Saccharomyces cerevisiae S288C: one gene and its partners. The gene in region 1 interacts genetically with each later gene. Each region holds a gene or a part of one and is shown on either strand. Other genes may lie near its edges.

Region 1 (2,841 bases):
TAACCGATGGGTAATTTCAGATTTCCTATAAAAACCAAGCTACCACCAGGGTTTATCAATGCTCGCATACTTAGGGATAACTTCAAAAGACAACAATTTAAAGAGAATGAAATCCTTGTTAAATCTTTGAAATTCATCGCTAGAAATATGAACCTTCCAACAAAACTGAGGTTGGAGGCTCAGTTAAAACTAAATGCATTGCCAAACTACATGAGATCTACGCAGATCAAAAATAGGTGCGTGGACTCTGGACATGCAAGATTTGTTCTAAGTGATTTTAGGTTGTGTAGGTATCAATTTAGAGAAAACGCTCTGAAGGGTAATTTGCCAGGTGTTAAGAAGGGTATTTGGTAAAAAATTTTATCGCGAAAGTATATATATATATATATATAGGATACGCACTTGTAAATAAATACATGATAATTTTTATTCTTCTTTAATAGATGATAATACTTACTGAGCAATACACTTATATGTAGAGAAGAATAAGATTATACACATACTGGGAGAAAAACAAGTAGCTATAGTTAGAGCTAAAATAACAAAAAAAGGCATACGTACATACAATGAGAAAAGGAATGGGATTGAAAAAGGGCAGTATCTGCCACTAAGTTAACGACTGAGAGATCGAGACACTCCTATAACAAGACACACTTCTTCTTCTTCTTTTCAGTAGTGTTCTTCTTAGCTTTACCATTCGTTTTAGATTTACCCATCAATGAAGCTCTAGTGGCGGCCTCAAACACTTCTCTGACACCATAACCAGTCTTGGCCGAACATTCGTAGTATCCGGTTGCGCCAATCTGGTCTGCTACAGATTGTCCCTCCTGTGATGTAACGGGTTGTTGACCTTCTTGTCTTAATTGTTCAATGGTTTGTGGGTCGTTTCTCAAATCCACTTTACAACCAACAAGAATAATTGGCACACCTTGACAGAAATGTAATACTTCGGCAATCCATTTTTCTTGTACATTCTCTAAAGAATCTGGAAGATCGATAGAGAAACAAATTAATACGACATTGGAGTCTGGGTATGACAATGGTCTTAGTCTATCATAATCTTCTTGACCAGCGGTATCCCATAGCGCTAGCTCTACACGACGCCCATCAACTTCAACATCTGCTACATAGTTTTCAAAGACAGTTGGTACGTAGACTTCTGGAAATTGGCCCTTGGAAAAGACGATTAATAAACATGTCTTACCACAGGCACCATCACCAACGATTACCAGCTTTCTTCTGATACTGTTACCAACTTGTTGTGACATCTTTCTAGTATAATTTTTAAAGTTCTATGATTTTCTATTAGTGCAACAATAAACCTCTAACAGCGATTCTTTTGTTTTATTAATTTTGTTCCTTTTTTGAGTTTTGTAACTTTAAGTTTGGGTTGTTCCAAAAATGTTTTTGCAATACTCAGAGGAATGATCGATGGTCGAAACGATATTAAAGACGAATTCCTGCTGGTAAAATAAATATATACGATTAGGATAAAGAAGTATTTGTATCAACTACTAAAACATGTAGTACCCAATACAAATCAAACAAAAATTGTATAATCTGTTTATTTTTTTTTCTGAGGCGAAGCAAATTGGAAACAACAAGAATTCTTGTATCTTTTTTTAGCCCCTTGTCACGCTGCACGACGCGTAGCACATTGATCGAGAATCACGATTTTATCAGCGACAATGTTATTGGAAATGAGGGAATTATACTGTGTTCTTGCAGTTATCGCTAAGGTTCCATAACCCAACCTCACAGATGAGGTCAGATTTAACTATTGACCTTCTTGAAACCAAATAGCCAGAATTCCATCTTGGTTCGTATTCGTCCTGGCAAGGCAACCTGTCCTTGCCGAATTTGTGAATTGTTTGATCTGCCATTAGCACATATAAAGTTTGTACTGCGGGATCGTAACTAATATCTTGAATAGGCTTGTCCAATGCTACCGCATTATAGGGAGATAGTCTTTTAGTTCTCATTGCAGTGCTTCCTAATATAGAACTTATATCCTCAAAATAACGGGATGATACATGATCCTCATATACTATAGTGGCGGCTCGGCGTAGTGAAGGTTTTGGTGTAGAAGAGTGGTTTCGCCAAAAGAGTAGTAAATTTCTACGCTGCCTTAGGGCAACCTCTGCTTCGTCATTCTCCGACCGTATGCCTTCGCTGTAACGATTTACGTGCCTCTCACCATGTAAAACATCATACAAAGCCATAGTGCCAAATTGAAATCCTTCAGGAAAGTCAACCTCGAATATGTCGTCGACTCTCCCATTCCCATATTCATCTGGTAGGCTGCCTGTTTCGTTATTAAGCCCAACTTTGATGGTGGGTAAAGAGTAAAAAATTAATCTTGAATCTAAATCGTTCCTATTTCCACAGTAAGCGGCAACAACAAAGCAGCATTCATTTAATGGTATTATCTTTTGAACTTTTGAATCAGGATACATTTCCAAGGGATACACCCTTCTCGATTCGTCAGATGATGAAGAGAAATCCTTAATCAAGTAGAGCTTTTCGCCCATATTTGTGGTAGCAATGATATTATCGCCTACTACAGTAAACGTCTTAACTGTACTCCAACTCTTAAATGTAAACCGGGTTTCCAAAGTGAGCCGCAAAGTCGTATTATTTCTCTCCTCCTGGTCAATGCAATGTTTTGTGACTTTCAACTTGTTAAAGGACATTTCGTTATCGGTGCCCATAACTTTATAATCCAGAAAGAATATTTCACCTCTGGGAGTAATGACCAAATGATTGAGGAGTCTTGAATTGTCAAGTTTATACGAATCTATTATTTGATTGGAAATTTTGTTTTTTGCAGCAGTTAATAAA
Region 2 (3,679 bases), on another chromosome or scaffold:
GGTTAAGTTTAACATTTCGTCTTGCGTTGTATCTACAGAATCGTTTTCATCATCCTCGTCATCATCATCTTCGTCGTCATCATCTTTAGGATCTCCTTGCCTCTTACTTTCGTCATCGTCGAGTGATGTAGCGGCTATTAGAGTAGCAGTTGGCACCGTTCCATCGTTTCCATGACCACCGTCTTGTGACTTATCACCGGAAAACATTTTATTAAACTTTTCCTTCATCGATTCACCTAAATCCTTGATTCGATCTAGTTTGTCCTTAGTAAAAGAGCTAGCTTCTTCCATCTTATAAGCTATATAACTCCCTGCAGCAGCCATCCCGCCACCCACATATATGGGTAACCTAATAATTTTAGATATAATTTTAGGAAAATGTGATATCGATCTCCTGGTGATAACAAAACTCAAAGCATTGGCATGTGCTGATCTGTGAACATTGCTCATGCGGCTGTGTAAGTGCACCAACGGACTTTTGATGTAAGGAGAGCTATATAGTATCGCCGGATGCGTAGCAAGCTGTCTTCTCAGAATTAAAAGCCGTACTGGGCTCGCATTCATCCTTACTAATGTGTTATAGTTCGCCACTCTTGGGATGGCCCTTAATGAAGTAGAATTACTCATGCTTTCAGAGTATTATGGTGAATATGCGAGGCTATATTATAAGTACGAAAAGAATGGAAAAGCCTAAGAATAAAATGATATCTGTACTACCCAAAAAGAGGCTTTTTCGTGTTCTCCCGTTAACTGGTGTGAACCTTCCTAGCTGATTATGTCTTGCCTTTCAATAGAACGCTACTATTTTGTTTTTAACGGTACAAGGAAATATTAACAACTTGCATATTGATCATCGAATACGAAGCGCTGAATGAGGGTTAATTTCATAGTAAATCTTTCATGGACAGAAATATTTGAAATATATTTCCTCAAAGAGTACACTAGATCCATTCATATTTTAGGCTTCCTATGGAAACCGTTTTTTCAAGGATAAACCCCGCCATATGTTCTTTGCGAAGTCTTTTGCAGTTAAAACTAATTACAACTCTGTTATTTACTGACACCTGCGTTAAAATTTTATCACAATATGTCATCCGCTGAGAGAGATGTACTATTTATAATTACTTAAGAGCGACTACTTCATTTACCATTAGCGAGCAGAAGAACAGCTTACTTGTCGATGTTCTTCTCTGGCTAAATGAAATGTCAATTATTGAGATTGAGATGGGTATGTATGATCGGATTTTGATATCAGCCGATGAGACGAAGATTCAATAGCTTCAACCGTCCCTGCGGGGGGTACTTACCTTTTGTAACCAGTACCCTGTGCAAATTCTCGGCGTGTACTACCTCTTTTGGGACCACAACCCTTTGTACGCACTTTCGTCAGATGCAAATTTTTACACGCGTTGAAAAATGTTTCAGGAAGAGATACTGCGTAAAAAAAAGACACATGTGTTACGCAGGAAAAAGTTTGTGAGGCTTTTTGCCTTAACAGATTGACTTGTAGCCCTGTTAGGTTTACCCAACAGTTGTTTTTCTGTGTGTCGAAAATTTTTTCAGATTGTTTTCAACTGACACTTGCCTGTTTCATATTAGTTGTAACTTAAACTTTCAAACATAAAACTTTTTTGGAAGTCCATCCTTCACATGACTTGAATCCCTTCAATATCGAAACAGTATCCTCAAAATCTCTTATCACTTTTCTAATTGTTTTCTTCCCCTTTTTGTAGTAACTCGCTGTAAAGCACATTTTATTCATAATCTCCTTTGTGCCAGAACTCAAGGTCAATAGGCCAGAATTATTGGAAGGAAAGAGGGAAGAAAATACGATATTGCTAGTTCATTAAGTCAAGGAAGAAAATACTCAAAAAACTGTACAGCTCAATCAGGTACACATTACGATGGCAGCACATCAGATGGACTCGATAACGTATTCTAATAATGTCACCCAACAGTATATACAACCACAAAGTCTACAGGATATCTCTGCAGTGGAGGATGAAATTCAAAATAAAATAGAGGCCGCCAGACAAGAGAGTAAACAGCTTCATGCTCAAATAAATAAAGCAAAACACAAGATACAAGATGCAAGCTTATTCCAGATGGCCAACAAAGTTACTTCGTTGACCAAAAATAAGATCAACTTAAAGCCAAATATCGTGTTGAAAGGCCATAATAATAAAATCTCAGATTTTCGGTGGAGTCGAGATTCAAAACGTATTTTGAGTGCAAGTCAAGATGGCTTTATGCTTATATGGGACAGTGCTTCAGGTTTAAAACAGAACGCTATTCCATTAGATTCTCAATGGGTTCTTTCCTGCGCTATTTCGCCATCGAGTACTTTGGTAGCAAGCGCAGGATTAAACAATAACTGTACCATTTATAGAGTTTCGAAAGAAAACAGAGTAGCGCAAAACGTTGCGTCAATTTTCAAAGGACATACTTGCTATATTTCTGACATTGAATTTACAGATAACGCACATATATTGACAGCAAGTGGGGATATGACATGTGCCTTGTGGGATATACCGAAAGCAAAGAGGGTGAGAGAATATTCTGACCATTTAGGTGATGTTTTGGCATTAGCTATTCCTGAAGAGCCAAACTCAGAAAATTCTTCGAACACATTCGCTAGCTGTGGATCAGACGGGTATACTTACATATGGGATAGCAGATCTCCGTCCGCTGTACAAAGCTTTTACGTTAACGATAGTGATATTAATGCACTTCGTTTTTTCAAAGACGGGATGTCGATTGTTGCAGGAAGTGACAATGGTGCGATAAATATGTATGATTTAAGGTCGGACTGTTCTATTGCTACTTTTTCTCTTTTTCGAGGTTATGAAGAACGTACCCCTACCCCTACTTATATGGCAGCTAACATGGAGTACAATACCGCGCAATCGCCACAAACTTTAAAATCAACAAGCTCAAGCTATCTAGACAACCAAGGCGTTGTTTCTTTAGATTTTAGTGCATCTGGAAGATTGATGTACTCATGCTATACAGACATTGGTTGTGTTGTGTGGGATGTATTAAAAGGAGAGATTGTTGGAAAATTAGAAGGTCATGGTGGCAGAGTCACTGGTGTGCGCTCGAGTCCAGATGGGTTAGCTGTATGTACAGGTTCATGGGACTCAACCATGAAAATATGGTCTCCAGGTTATCAATAGCTTCGAATTGGAAATACTGTGAGCAGTAATTATCAATGGATGCTATTATATAAATATACATACCTACACCCATCCCATATTTACATAGAATAACAACAGTAACATTAGTTCTGTGGAAGCGCAAAAACGTCCTTTAATAAAGTAAGTCAAAACATTCAACAATGAAAATTCAAAGCATTGTCATTTGCTTCCTTTTTCTCTTTGGATAAACGAAACAAAAACGAACAAAAGTGTCATGCACTCAAAAATTCTTTTCAATCGTTTTGGAAACAGTATTATTCACTGACTTATTTGACCAACTTGCTAGAATCATCTATGTTTTCAGGCATTGTTTAATTTCATGATGGCTGTCCCTACTTTAGCTTGTTATGAGCCTTCACTGGCTCGTCCTTATGTATTGCGTCTGACCCAAAATTTGTCCTTTCTTGTTTAGTGGAATTTTTGTTCGGTAATTTCAAAAATGCCTGAATTTTCATTAACAAATCATCTGGTAGTTGTGTTAT
Region 3 (3,791 bases), on another chromosome or scaffold:
GATCCATTGCATGCTTCGACGGCTTTGGAGAATGAAACCACCATCGAAACCGTCAACCCCTCCGTAAGAAGTTTGAAAAGCGAACCTGTTGGTACTCCCAATATAGAGGAAAACAAAGCGGACTCTTCCGCAGAAGCCGTGGTAGAAGAACCGAATGAAGCTGTGGCTGAAAGTTCTCCAAATGAAGAAGCAACGGGACAGAAAAGTGAGGATACCGATACACATTCTAACGAACAAGCTGATAATGGATTTGTACAGACTGAAGAAGTAGCTGAAAACAACATAACCACAGAAAGTGCAGGGGAAAATAACGAACCTGCAGATGATGCAGCAATGGAATTTGGACGTCCAGAAGCTGAAATTGAAACTCCAGAAGTAAATGAGTCTATAGAAGATGCCAATGAACCTGCGGAGGATTCCAATGAACCTGTGGAGGATTCCAACAAACCTGTGAAGGATTCCAACAAACCTGTGGAGGATTCCAACAAACCTGTGGAGGATTCCAACAAACCTGTGGAGGATTCCAACAAACCTGTGGAGGATGCCAATGAACCTGTGGAAGATACCAGTGAACCTGTGGAGGATGCCGGTGAACCCGTACAAGAAACCAACGAGTTTACTACCGACATTGCCTCTCCAAGACATCAAGAAGAAGATATAGAACTTGAAGCCGAACCTAAAGATGCTACCGAAAGTGTTGCAGTCGAGCCATCCAATGAAGATGTAAAACCAGAAGAAAAAGGTTCAGAGGCAGAAGACGATATCAACAACGTTTCCAAGGAGGCTGCCTCTGGTGAGAGTACTACCCACCAAAAAACTGAGGCCTCTGCTTCTCTTGAAAGCAGTGCCGTCACGGAAGAACAAGAGACAACGGAAGCCGAAGTAAATACAGATGACGTTTTGTCCACTAAAGAAGCTAAAAAAAATACTGGCAACAGCAACAGTAATAAGAAGAAGAATAAGAAGAATAAGAAGAAAGGGAAAAAGAAATGATTAATGGATGCCTTCAATGAGTTCCACGACGCACGTTTATTTTTTCGACTGAGAATCCCTCAGCAAATATAATCTATTTTTTATATATCTGTGTATATGTAAGCATGTATAACTAGTTACAAATATGATAACTGCTTTGGCGATCACTTCATTTTCTTGAGAGGGGTACTCAGTAGCCGCCAAGCACGAAATGTCCGTTATTAAAAATTGGGGAGTGAATCTTAAAAGCCCGAAAAGGAAATTCAAAATCTGTCTATTTATAGGCCGTCGCGCTCTACGAAAACGCGAAATTATTCAAACGGAAAACGGAAAAAAATCTAAAAAAAGAAATTAATTGAGAGATCTCACGGAAATGCCGCGAGGAATGTTTCTCGAGGCTGAGCGGCGTGGTCTGTGCAAAAAAATGGCAATTTTTTTGTAGGAGTTTGCATTGGGCCATTCAGAAGGAGCACCGTTAGATGGGATGGTAAATGAATTTGCTGTTTCAGATTTGAATCAATCTTTACCCGTTATTTTTGCCGTTTTGCTTTCATAATCTGCAAATTAACAAAGTCATAAAGAACATAAAGACATCACCCCAGTTTTTACACTCTTTTTTCCTGTGTTTGGTTTAGCACAACTTTCCAATAACCAAGTTGGTTTCAGATCATCCCCATATTATTTTCTAGTTTCATTTACTTACCAAACTCACCATTCAAGGCTTTCAAATTAAGTTACGAGTACAGTGGACCATTTTTTTCTGATTCTTCATATTTTCCGTTATAAGTCTTATAAGGAAGGTATACATTTATATTGCGAATTTGAAAAATAATTTAAAGCTGACTTTGCGTTTTAGGTAGGCTAGAAAAGAATACAACTATCCCTAAACACATTCTAGATTCACGAAGACGCCTCTGCCTCAAAGACATACTATATTTTTACTCTCGTTGAACAAATAGTACCATTATTTCGCTACTTTCGTTGAAGATTGGACATATAAAATACGCAAATCATAGTATGTTGTCTTTCACAACCAAGAATAGTTTCCGCTTATTACTTTTAATACTGTCATGCATATCGACGATACGCGCACAATTTTTCGTGCAATCATCATCTTCGAATTCTTCAGCAGTATCTACTGCACGTTCTTCCGTAAGTAGAGTTAGTTCTTCAAGTTCCATTTTGTCATCCAGTATGGTTTCTTCCTCAAGTGCTGACTCATCTTCCCTTACTTCATCGACATCAAGTAGGTCCCTCGTGTCACATACGAGTTCGTCTACCAGCATTGCCTCCATATCGTTCACATCATTCAGTTTCTCATCAGATTCAAGCACCAGCAGCTCTTCCTCTGCTTCTTCAGATTCTTCATCCTCCTCATCCTTTTCCATCTCTTCGACATCCGCAACTTCTGAATCATCGACGTCTTCTACGCAAACGTCAACATCATCTTCATCCTCACTGTCGTCAACGCCGTCCTCTTCATCATCCCCATCAACAATCACTTCTGCACCTTCAACCTCCTCCACACCATCCACTACTGCCTATAATCAAGGAAGCACTATCACCAGTATTATTAACGGTAAGACGATTCTCTCAAATCATTATACTACCGTTACGTACACACCATCAGCAACCGCTGATTCAAGCAATAAATCCAAAAGTTCGGGTCTTTCTAAAAAAAATAGAAACATCGTCATTGGTTGTGTGGTTGGTATTGGTGTACCACTGATTCTGGTGATACTGGCTTTAATTTACATGTTTTGTATCCAATCATCAAGGACGGACTTTATTGACTCAGATGGTAAGGTCGTTACGGCATATAGAGCTAACAAATTTACGAAATGGTGGTATATGCTTTTGGGTAAGAAAGTTAGTGATGAATACCACTCCGATTCACCATTAGGTGGTAGTGCATCGTCCGCAGGTGGTTTAGACCTAGATGAAGCAGATGATGTGATGGAGCAAAGCTCCCTTTTCGACGTCAGAATAAGAGATAGCGATAGCGTATTACCAAACGCCAACACCGCCGACCATAATAATACCAATAGCGGTGGAGAGCCTATAAATAGTAGCGTTGCGTCAAATGACATAATAGAAGAAAAATTCTATGATGAACAAGGTAACGAATTATCACCACGAAATTATTAATCATATCCATTCATATCATTTAGTGCTTATGGCTACTTTTCATTCCTCAATTATTGTAAATTGACCATCTTAATTATATTTCTGATATTGAGTAGGTGGACTTCATTAGTATTTTTACAAATATTATCACCTTCTTATGTAGGATTAGCATTACATACCCTCTAATTAAAAAAAGTTAACATTAATTACATTTTAAAAAAAATTGTAATAGTATGATAGTAGGACCTGACAGCCATTTGAATAAGGTTTCGAGTGCTTTAACGTTCCACTGATTTTATGTAGTTCATATGGGGGTTAGTCTGGTTTGAGGAGGAGAATTTCAGGGAAGCAGTGGCCGTTGAATCTCCCTGTAGGGCGCTGATTATTTTTATCCTAATAATCCAAAAATGACAATGTCAATAAAGAAAACTTACCGAGTTCTGTGAATTTCTCCCTAAAAAATTACTAATTATACCTGGGCGAGTTTTGAACTCTTTGGCAAATAAACTTGGGGTAAACCTTTCGATTATAAAGACGTTACTGCTCAAAAATGTGTAGAAGCATAAGGAGATATTCTCTCGTATGTTTAATTGGAGTTGGCTTTTTTGGACTCTGAAGTTTGAGTATGGGAGGGGAAGTAATCGAGATTAGATTCCCTGATGTTCACATATGGGGATAAAGAATGCTTTTTG
Region 4 (5,840 bases), on another chromosome or scaffold:
CATGAGTTATCTGAGGAAAACGACTCTAACTCGGGGGAATGGTGCCTAAATCCCATGGAAGAGACATTTGATATTCATATTCCTATCTCGGATTCAATTTGGAATAATTACATAAGCAGTAAAAACAAGATTGAAGTAATCGATATTTTACTTCAGTTGCTTTCAGTAAATTCGACATCTTCAATACGGTCAGAATTATCTTCTCTAACAGCTAATCAAGACTTCAGTACCAAGTTGAGTGAGGAAACAATTAAAATCAAACTTTTGAATTCACAGTTTAATCTCGAAAAAATTAATTTTCACTCTGGATCAATTTTCGATGCTTGCTAGTGACATAATATTCCAAAGGAAAGGACAATATACTTTCAAGACTTTATTTTCTAGGACAAAATTCTTGTCCATTGTATTATATTTTCTTAATGGCACCCATATATTTCAGGTAAACTACATATGGTTATACAAATAAAATAATATTACTTAAATTTAGATGTATAGGTTCAAGAAATAAGTTTTAAGGTATTAATATGGGCGGTCAACTCAAAAATTTAACAGTTCGATAATTTCAAATCCTTGAGGATCCTCATAACAATATAAGATCTTCTTGGCATATGATTTTAACATACGTATCTTGTTTCCAAGTACACAGCGGACAAGTTCTCCATTTTCTATATGTCTAATTTCAATAAAGTTACTATTAATTGCCACAATATAAGGGTAGGAACACGCGAACTGTTCTGGTTCCCCCTCCCAATGAAAACATCCCTTTGTCTCCTCCCTCTTCCCTTGCTTATTGAGAAAAAAGCAGAGTTCTGGAAAACATGCAAAAGTTGAATTTTTTATCGGAAACATGGAAACTACTTTGAACGTCTCTTTATACATGTTCGCTAAAACTTTGTTATCATGTAGATTTAAAAGCTCCCTCATTTTAAATCCATTTTTATCACACACTTCCGGTACGTTTAATATTTTGATATTTTTTTTACAACCAATGCAGATCTTATTCTCCAAAAAAGAAAAGGACAGAGGTTCAGAATCAACGCTAAAATCTACCAAGCCTGCCTTTAGGTTTTTTTTAAAATTACCGCTATTAAAATCAAATATCAAAGGATTAACAATCAATAATTGTACGGCGTGCAAAAAATGATGTGCAATCATAATGATTCTTTTACCATTACAGAAACCGTCTTTGAACATTGCAACATATTTAAATAACACTTTAGAATTTTTTCTGAAAAGAAAATCTGCATTTTCTGCATCGTCGATTACGTCTAAAGGACAGCCGTACAGTTTTTTGTCAATTAGAAGAATCATAACTTTATATTCTTCCAATACAGAGATCTGTGAAATTGATATTTTGTGCAGAAGGTGCACTGGTTTTTGATTGATCGATGTAGCATAATTAAGAACAAAGAGTCCCATATTTGTTGCAACCAATAAAATTTTACCAGCATGACAGATTAGGACATCGTTGACGCGATTAGTATTTATGTATGAGTGAAAGAATTGACCTACCATTTGCTTAAAAGTAATATGTTTAGTTTCATCAAGGAGCCTTTTTTGCTCTTGTTTCACCTTTTCTATTAATGTCTGTAATCCGGCCGGCTGCGGCGCGTACAAAGTAACTTGATATTGTTGTTTCGTACCGTAATAGGCGAATACAATAGCATTCTTGGGATTGCTCGTTTGATATTGGGGTAAGAGCACACCCGCTGAGCAATTTGGGTTTTCTGTCACATATCTTTTTATGGGTGGCATATCCTCAGCCGGACAAATAAACAGTAAAGGGAGTGGAATTGGTCTCTGAAATACAGTGTGTTGGTGCCACTTGTTTACAGCTTTTGATTTCAAGAATAATAGCATATTGTCGAGTAGGTAAAATTGAATGTCTCCTGAAAAGGACGCATCTGTTTTGTTCACGTCCTTCCTTGAGAGTAAACCTTCATGCTTGATTTTCCTTTTTTCGTTATTCAAACCCAGATTAACGTATTCATTTTTGAATAGAATTTTCTGCTTTAACACTTTAACGTCATAACGATCTTGTGCTGCACCGCTTGCTCTATCAATCCTTTTCATTAGATCCTTTAAAAGATCTTGGACTTTCATTAGCATTTGTAGATCATCTTTGTCTGTTACTGGGTCCGAGAAGTGTATTATTTCTCTTACCAACAGTGAATATCTACCAGGTCTTGAAACACCCTGAGATAGGAATGAATCGATCCCATGCCTCAGGGAAGAATTAGACACTTCATCGTCAAAACGAGCAAAATTGGGATTAACTGATCTTTGGGTTTCAATTAGATACTTTGCGTATGGTCTTGATGCTATGTATGACAGAAAAGGATCAAAGAAAGGAAGATACTGCAAAAATATATCTGCAATTCCAGGACAAATTGGGCTTAATGATTGCCTTTGTGCTAAAGCCTTCAAAAATTCTCTATTGACAGAATATATTTCATTGATATGTGCGAAAACGTGCTTTACAAAATTTATCCTTACATCAGATGGAATAATATTCGTTTCTAATAATTTCTTCATGAAAGTATCTCGGATGATTTCCAAAGATTTTACAAACTTCTTTTCTGTAGTAAACAACTCATATATTGCCTCCTGCCTTTTGATTTGTTGTTTGGATAATGATTCCCATACGCTCTTTGGTACAGAATTTGTCCAGGAAATTCGTTCATCATCCTCCTTATCGAGTGCTAACGAAATATTTCTCTTAAGACCACCACCTAATTTTAAATGTAAATTAGCCTGTTGTTGCAAACGATTGGGGCAAGAAATAGAGTAGCAAAGTTTTTCCAGAGAGCATGTAGAGGAATAACAATGTGTCAATGGGACAAAAACACCATATATTTCAGTTTTAGTACGGAGCGAATTAACTGAAGAAGATGATGAAGAAAATGTGTTGGCAATTGAAGTAGAACTCTGCGACTGATGTGCCATAAAAATTGATTCTGAAGATAACTCGTAAATCTCCAGTACAGAATCTCTTACGCCATGGTCATAAAGTACGTCATGGAACAATTTTTGAGCTTCCAGCGATTTTCCGATCAACATGCCCAAATTACGATCTAAGCTTCCTATGATCAAGCATAAAGTATCAATTGCTTGTTTTCCTGTAAAGGAATCTCTGTAAAGTAACCCCATCTTTTTATGCGTGCTCAATTTGATGGTCTGTTTGAATTTAATTGCTATTAGTGATAAAAGTGCAGGATAAACCAAAGGCGTGCCTTTGATCATGGATATTTCCGTCAGAGAGACAGGACTTGATTTGGACCTTGAATGATGACGTTGGTGTTGATTAGTATGGCGTCGATATTGACTAGAATGATTGGAAGAGTTTGATGAGCGTCTATTTTGGGTTTTCAGTGACTCTAATGCAAATAAAGAAGAGGTGCTAGAAGAACTATGTTTTCCATTGAATGAACTGTGTAACTCCATCGTGTGACCTGCACTTTTGGGAGTTGGAGGCGTAGATAGCTGGTTTGGATCCCCCATATGACTGCCACTGTTTTTGGAAAATGATAATAGTGAAGGAGATGAATGTTTTCTTACGTGAGGAAGCAAAACATTCGATCTTTTTTGAGAAGGTGATGAAGTGGTAGTGCAACTGTTACCTTTATCTTGTCTGGTCGAATCATTTATTGAAATTTTTTTATTAGTAGGTGAAATCTGATCGCCTGTGAAGGATTGTGGACTTGAATTAAGGTTTGTTGAAATATGTAGGACAGGAGATGCCTTTAATTGGTGGGAAGAACAGTCCGGTGCTATCCTATACCGTGCACCGGTGTCGTGCCCTAGTGTATAATCCTTCAATGAAGCCTTATTTTCATCTTCAGTACTATCTTCATCCTCATCGTTAGTGATAGAAATTTCATTGATGTTTGTCTGAACTTTGGAGCCGGAGAACAACTGAGTAGGGGTTGAAGTATCTGATTTTCTTTTCTTACCGAATATCTCATAAAAATATTTATTTCTTAGATCCAGTTCATTACTATTCATAACCTAACCAAATTCTTACCAACGACTTGGTTTTATTTATATCATTACTAAATCAACAAAATTTTTGCTTTAAAATTCAAACGTGGCGTTCTTTTTTTTGATTTAGTTTTATTTATTTACTTTTTCATTCAAGAGCAAAGAAAAGTTTAAAATTAACGATTCTCCCTTGGGCCCCTTATGATATGTCTAAATATTGCCGTTTTAGGGCAAAAAAGATGAAGTGCGTTTACTTTCGTATAGAGTTTGTAGATATGACATTGGCAACAAAAAATCATGGGAAATTTAAGAAACATACAAACGTATGCGTGAAAAAAAAATCGACACTAGACGCACTAGGTGGTGCTTAATTGGAGTACTGGAGCGCTCCTTTAGATACAAGATGACAATTTATTGAAGATCGAGTAGGGGACGGATTACTCCCACATTAAACAGCAGGTCTTTCTTATTATAAGGAATACAAAAACAATTGAAGTAAAATGTTAGATCTAAAAATGTTTCTTTGTCTTGCTTTGTATGTATGTAATAATATACTCCTGAATACTTCACTTCGTCTTTTACAATTCTAAAAAGGCAGTTTCTTCGAAAACTGAAAAAAAAAAAAAAAAAAAAAAAAAAAAAAGAAATAGAAGGAAAATGAAACAGATGATTAGGATGAGTATAAGATGGCAAAAGTAAAAAATATCTTGTACAGCTCTCGGCGAGAATAGGGTGAAGCAAGACCATGTTTTCACTTAGTTCGCTATCTAGCAGCGGTGGGCATTCAGAGCAGAAGGAAAGAGAGAGAATAAGTTATTTTGATATTAGAATAAACTCCCCGTACAAGGACATAATTTTGATCCAAGGGTCACCGTTGGAACTGTCGTCTATACCTTTATCAGGAAACTTAGTGATTTCAGTGAAAAATGAGATCGTAGTGAAGAAAATTTCGCTGAGATTGGTAGGAAGATTCAAATTGGAGTTTTTGCAAGTTGGCCGATATAAGAAGAATAGCAGTAGTTTGGCAAGTCTAGTTAAGGAAAAGCGTAAGATTTTCGAATGCTATTGGGACAACTTATTGGTTTCTTCAAAAGGGGATGTTTTAGTCGGTGGGGAAAATGCGGAAAATCAACATAACAGTAGTAGCGGTCGCAGTACAAGCAACCAAGATATGGACACCAGCGGCAACGCAATATTTCTAAGCAAGAGATCACTTTCGAGCCCTGTTTTCAACAAAATAATTCGAAGAAAGACCCATTCTTCCCACAGAAAAATACTAGAGCTACCAGAAAATGGTGTTACAGGAACCCCTTTCGAGGGTTTAAGAGAAAACGCCCGTAGTAGAAGCAGTAGTAGTAACACCCTCAATAACAATAGCCATAGTTATAGTAACAGAGACGGGTCTGGAAGTTCGTACTTATTCCTAATGAAAAGAGGCAACTACGAACTACCCTTCAATACAATGCTCCCCCCAGAAGTGTGCGAAACAATCGAGGGACTACAAAGTGGTAGCATACTGTATTCCTTTGAAGCCATTATAGATGGACGTCAGTTATGGGATACTGATCTGAGCGTTCATACTTCTCCTCACGGTCCAATCGGTAGCACAAGTACGAGCGGCAATGGTATGAGAACGAAGAATAAAATTATCATCAAAAAGTTCAAGTATCTCAGAATCCTTCGTACATTATCGATGGACAATCTTGCCATGCAAGAAGAAATTAGCGTGGGTAATACTTGGCGTGACAAGTTGCAATACGAAACGTCCATCCCGAGTAGGGCTGTTCCTATTGGTAGCACAACCCCCGTGAAGATTAAGATTTTCCCCTTCGAAAAGAACATTCGTTTGGATAGGATAG

What was found.
Region 2: of RHO1 (region 1) and STE4, extra expression of one rescues a mutant of the other (dosage rescue), as found in Saccharomyces cerevisiae (2 studies listed by BioGRID).
Region 3: of RHO1 (region 1) and MID2, extra expression of one rescues a mutant of the other (dosage rescue), as found in Saccharomyces cerevisiae (4 studies listed by BioGRID).
Region 4: of RHO1 (region 1) and ROM1, a mutation in one rescues a mutant of the other (synthetic rescue), as found in Saccharomyces cerevisiae (2 studies listed by BioGRID, with this or other methods).

What each region holds. Positions count from the first base shown.
Region 1 is NC_001148.4:873,795-876,635, reverse strand, and holds RHO1 (Rho family GTPase RHO1), read right to left. Parts: upstream 1,269-2,841; coding exon 639-1,268; downstream 1-638. Other genes in the region: mitochondrial 37S ribosomal protein uS14m MRP2, read left to right, coding at 7-354; MMS1 (Mms1p), read right to left, coding at 1,710-2,841. UniProt on the Saccharomyces cerevisiae protein: Acts as a central regulator in the cell wall integrity signaling pathway, which is regulated by the cell cycle and in response to various types of cell wall stress.
Region 2 is NC_001147.6:741,006-744,684, forward strand, and holds STE4 (G protein subunit beta), read left to right. Parts: upstream 1-1,904; coding exon 1,905-3,176; downstream 3,177-3,679. Other genes in the region: dynamin-related GTPase MGM1, read right to left, coding at 1-564; SAS5 (Sas5p), read right to left, coding at 3,530-3,679. UniProt on the Saccharomyces cerevisiae protein: Implicated in the a- and alpha-factor response pathway. The beta and gamma chains of the putative yeast mating response pathway G protein play a positive role in initiation of the mating response.
Region 3 is NC_001144.5:788,687-792,477, forward strand, and holds MID2 (Mid2p), read left to right. Parts: upstream 1-1,989; coding exon 1,990-3,120; downstream 3,121-3,791. Other genes in the region: CHS5 (Chs5p), read left to right, coding at 1-993; JIP3 (Jip3p), read right to left, coding at 1,983-2,360.
Region 4 is NC_001139.9:625,971-631,810, reverse strand, and holds ROM1 (Rho family guanine nucleotide exchange factor ROM1), read right to left. Parts: upstream 4,006-5,840; coding exon 538-4,005; downstream 1-537. Other genes in the region: ENV11 (Env11p), read left to right, coding at 1-330; ART5 (Art5p), read left to right, coding at 4,727-5,840. UniProt on the Saccharomyces cerevisiae protein: Stimulates the exchange of RHO1 GDP-bound form into GTP-bound form.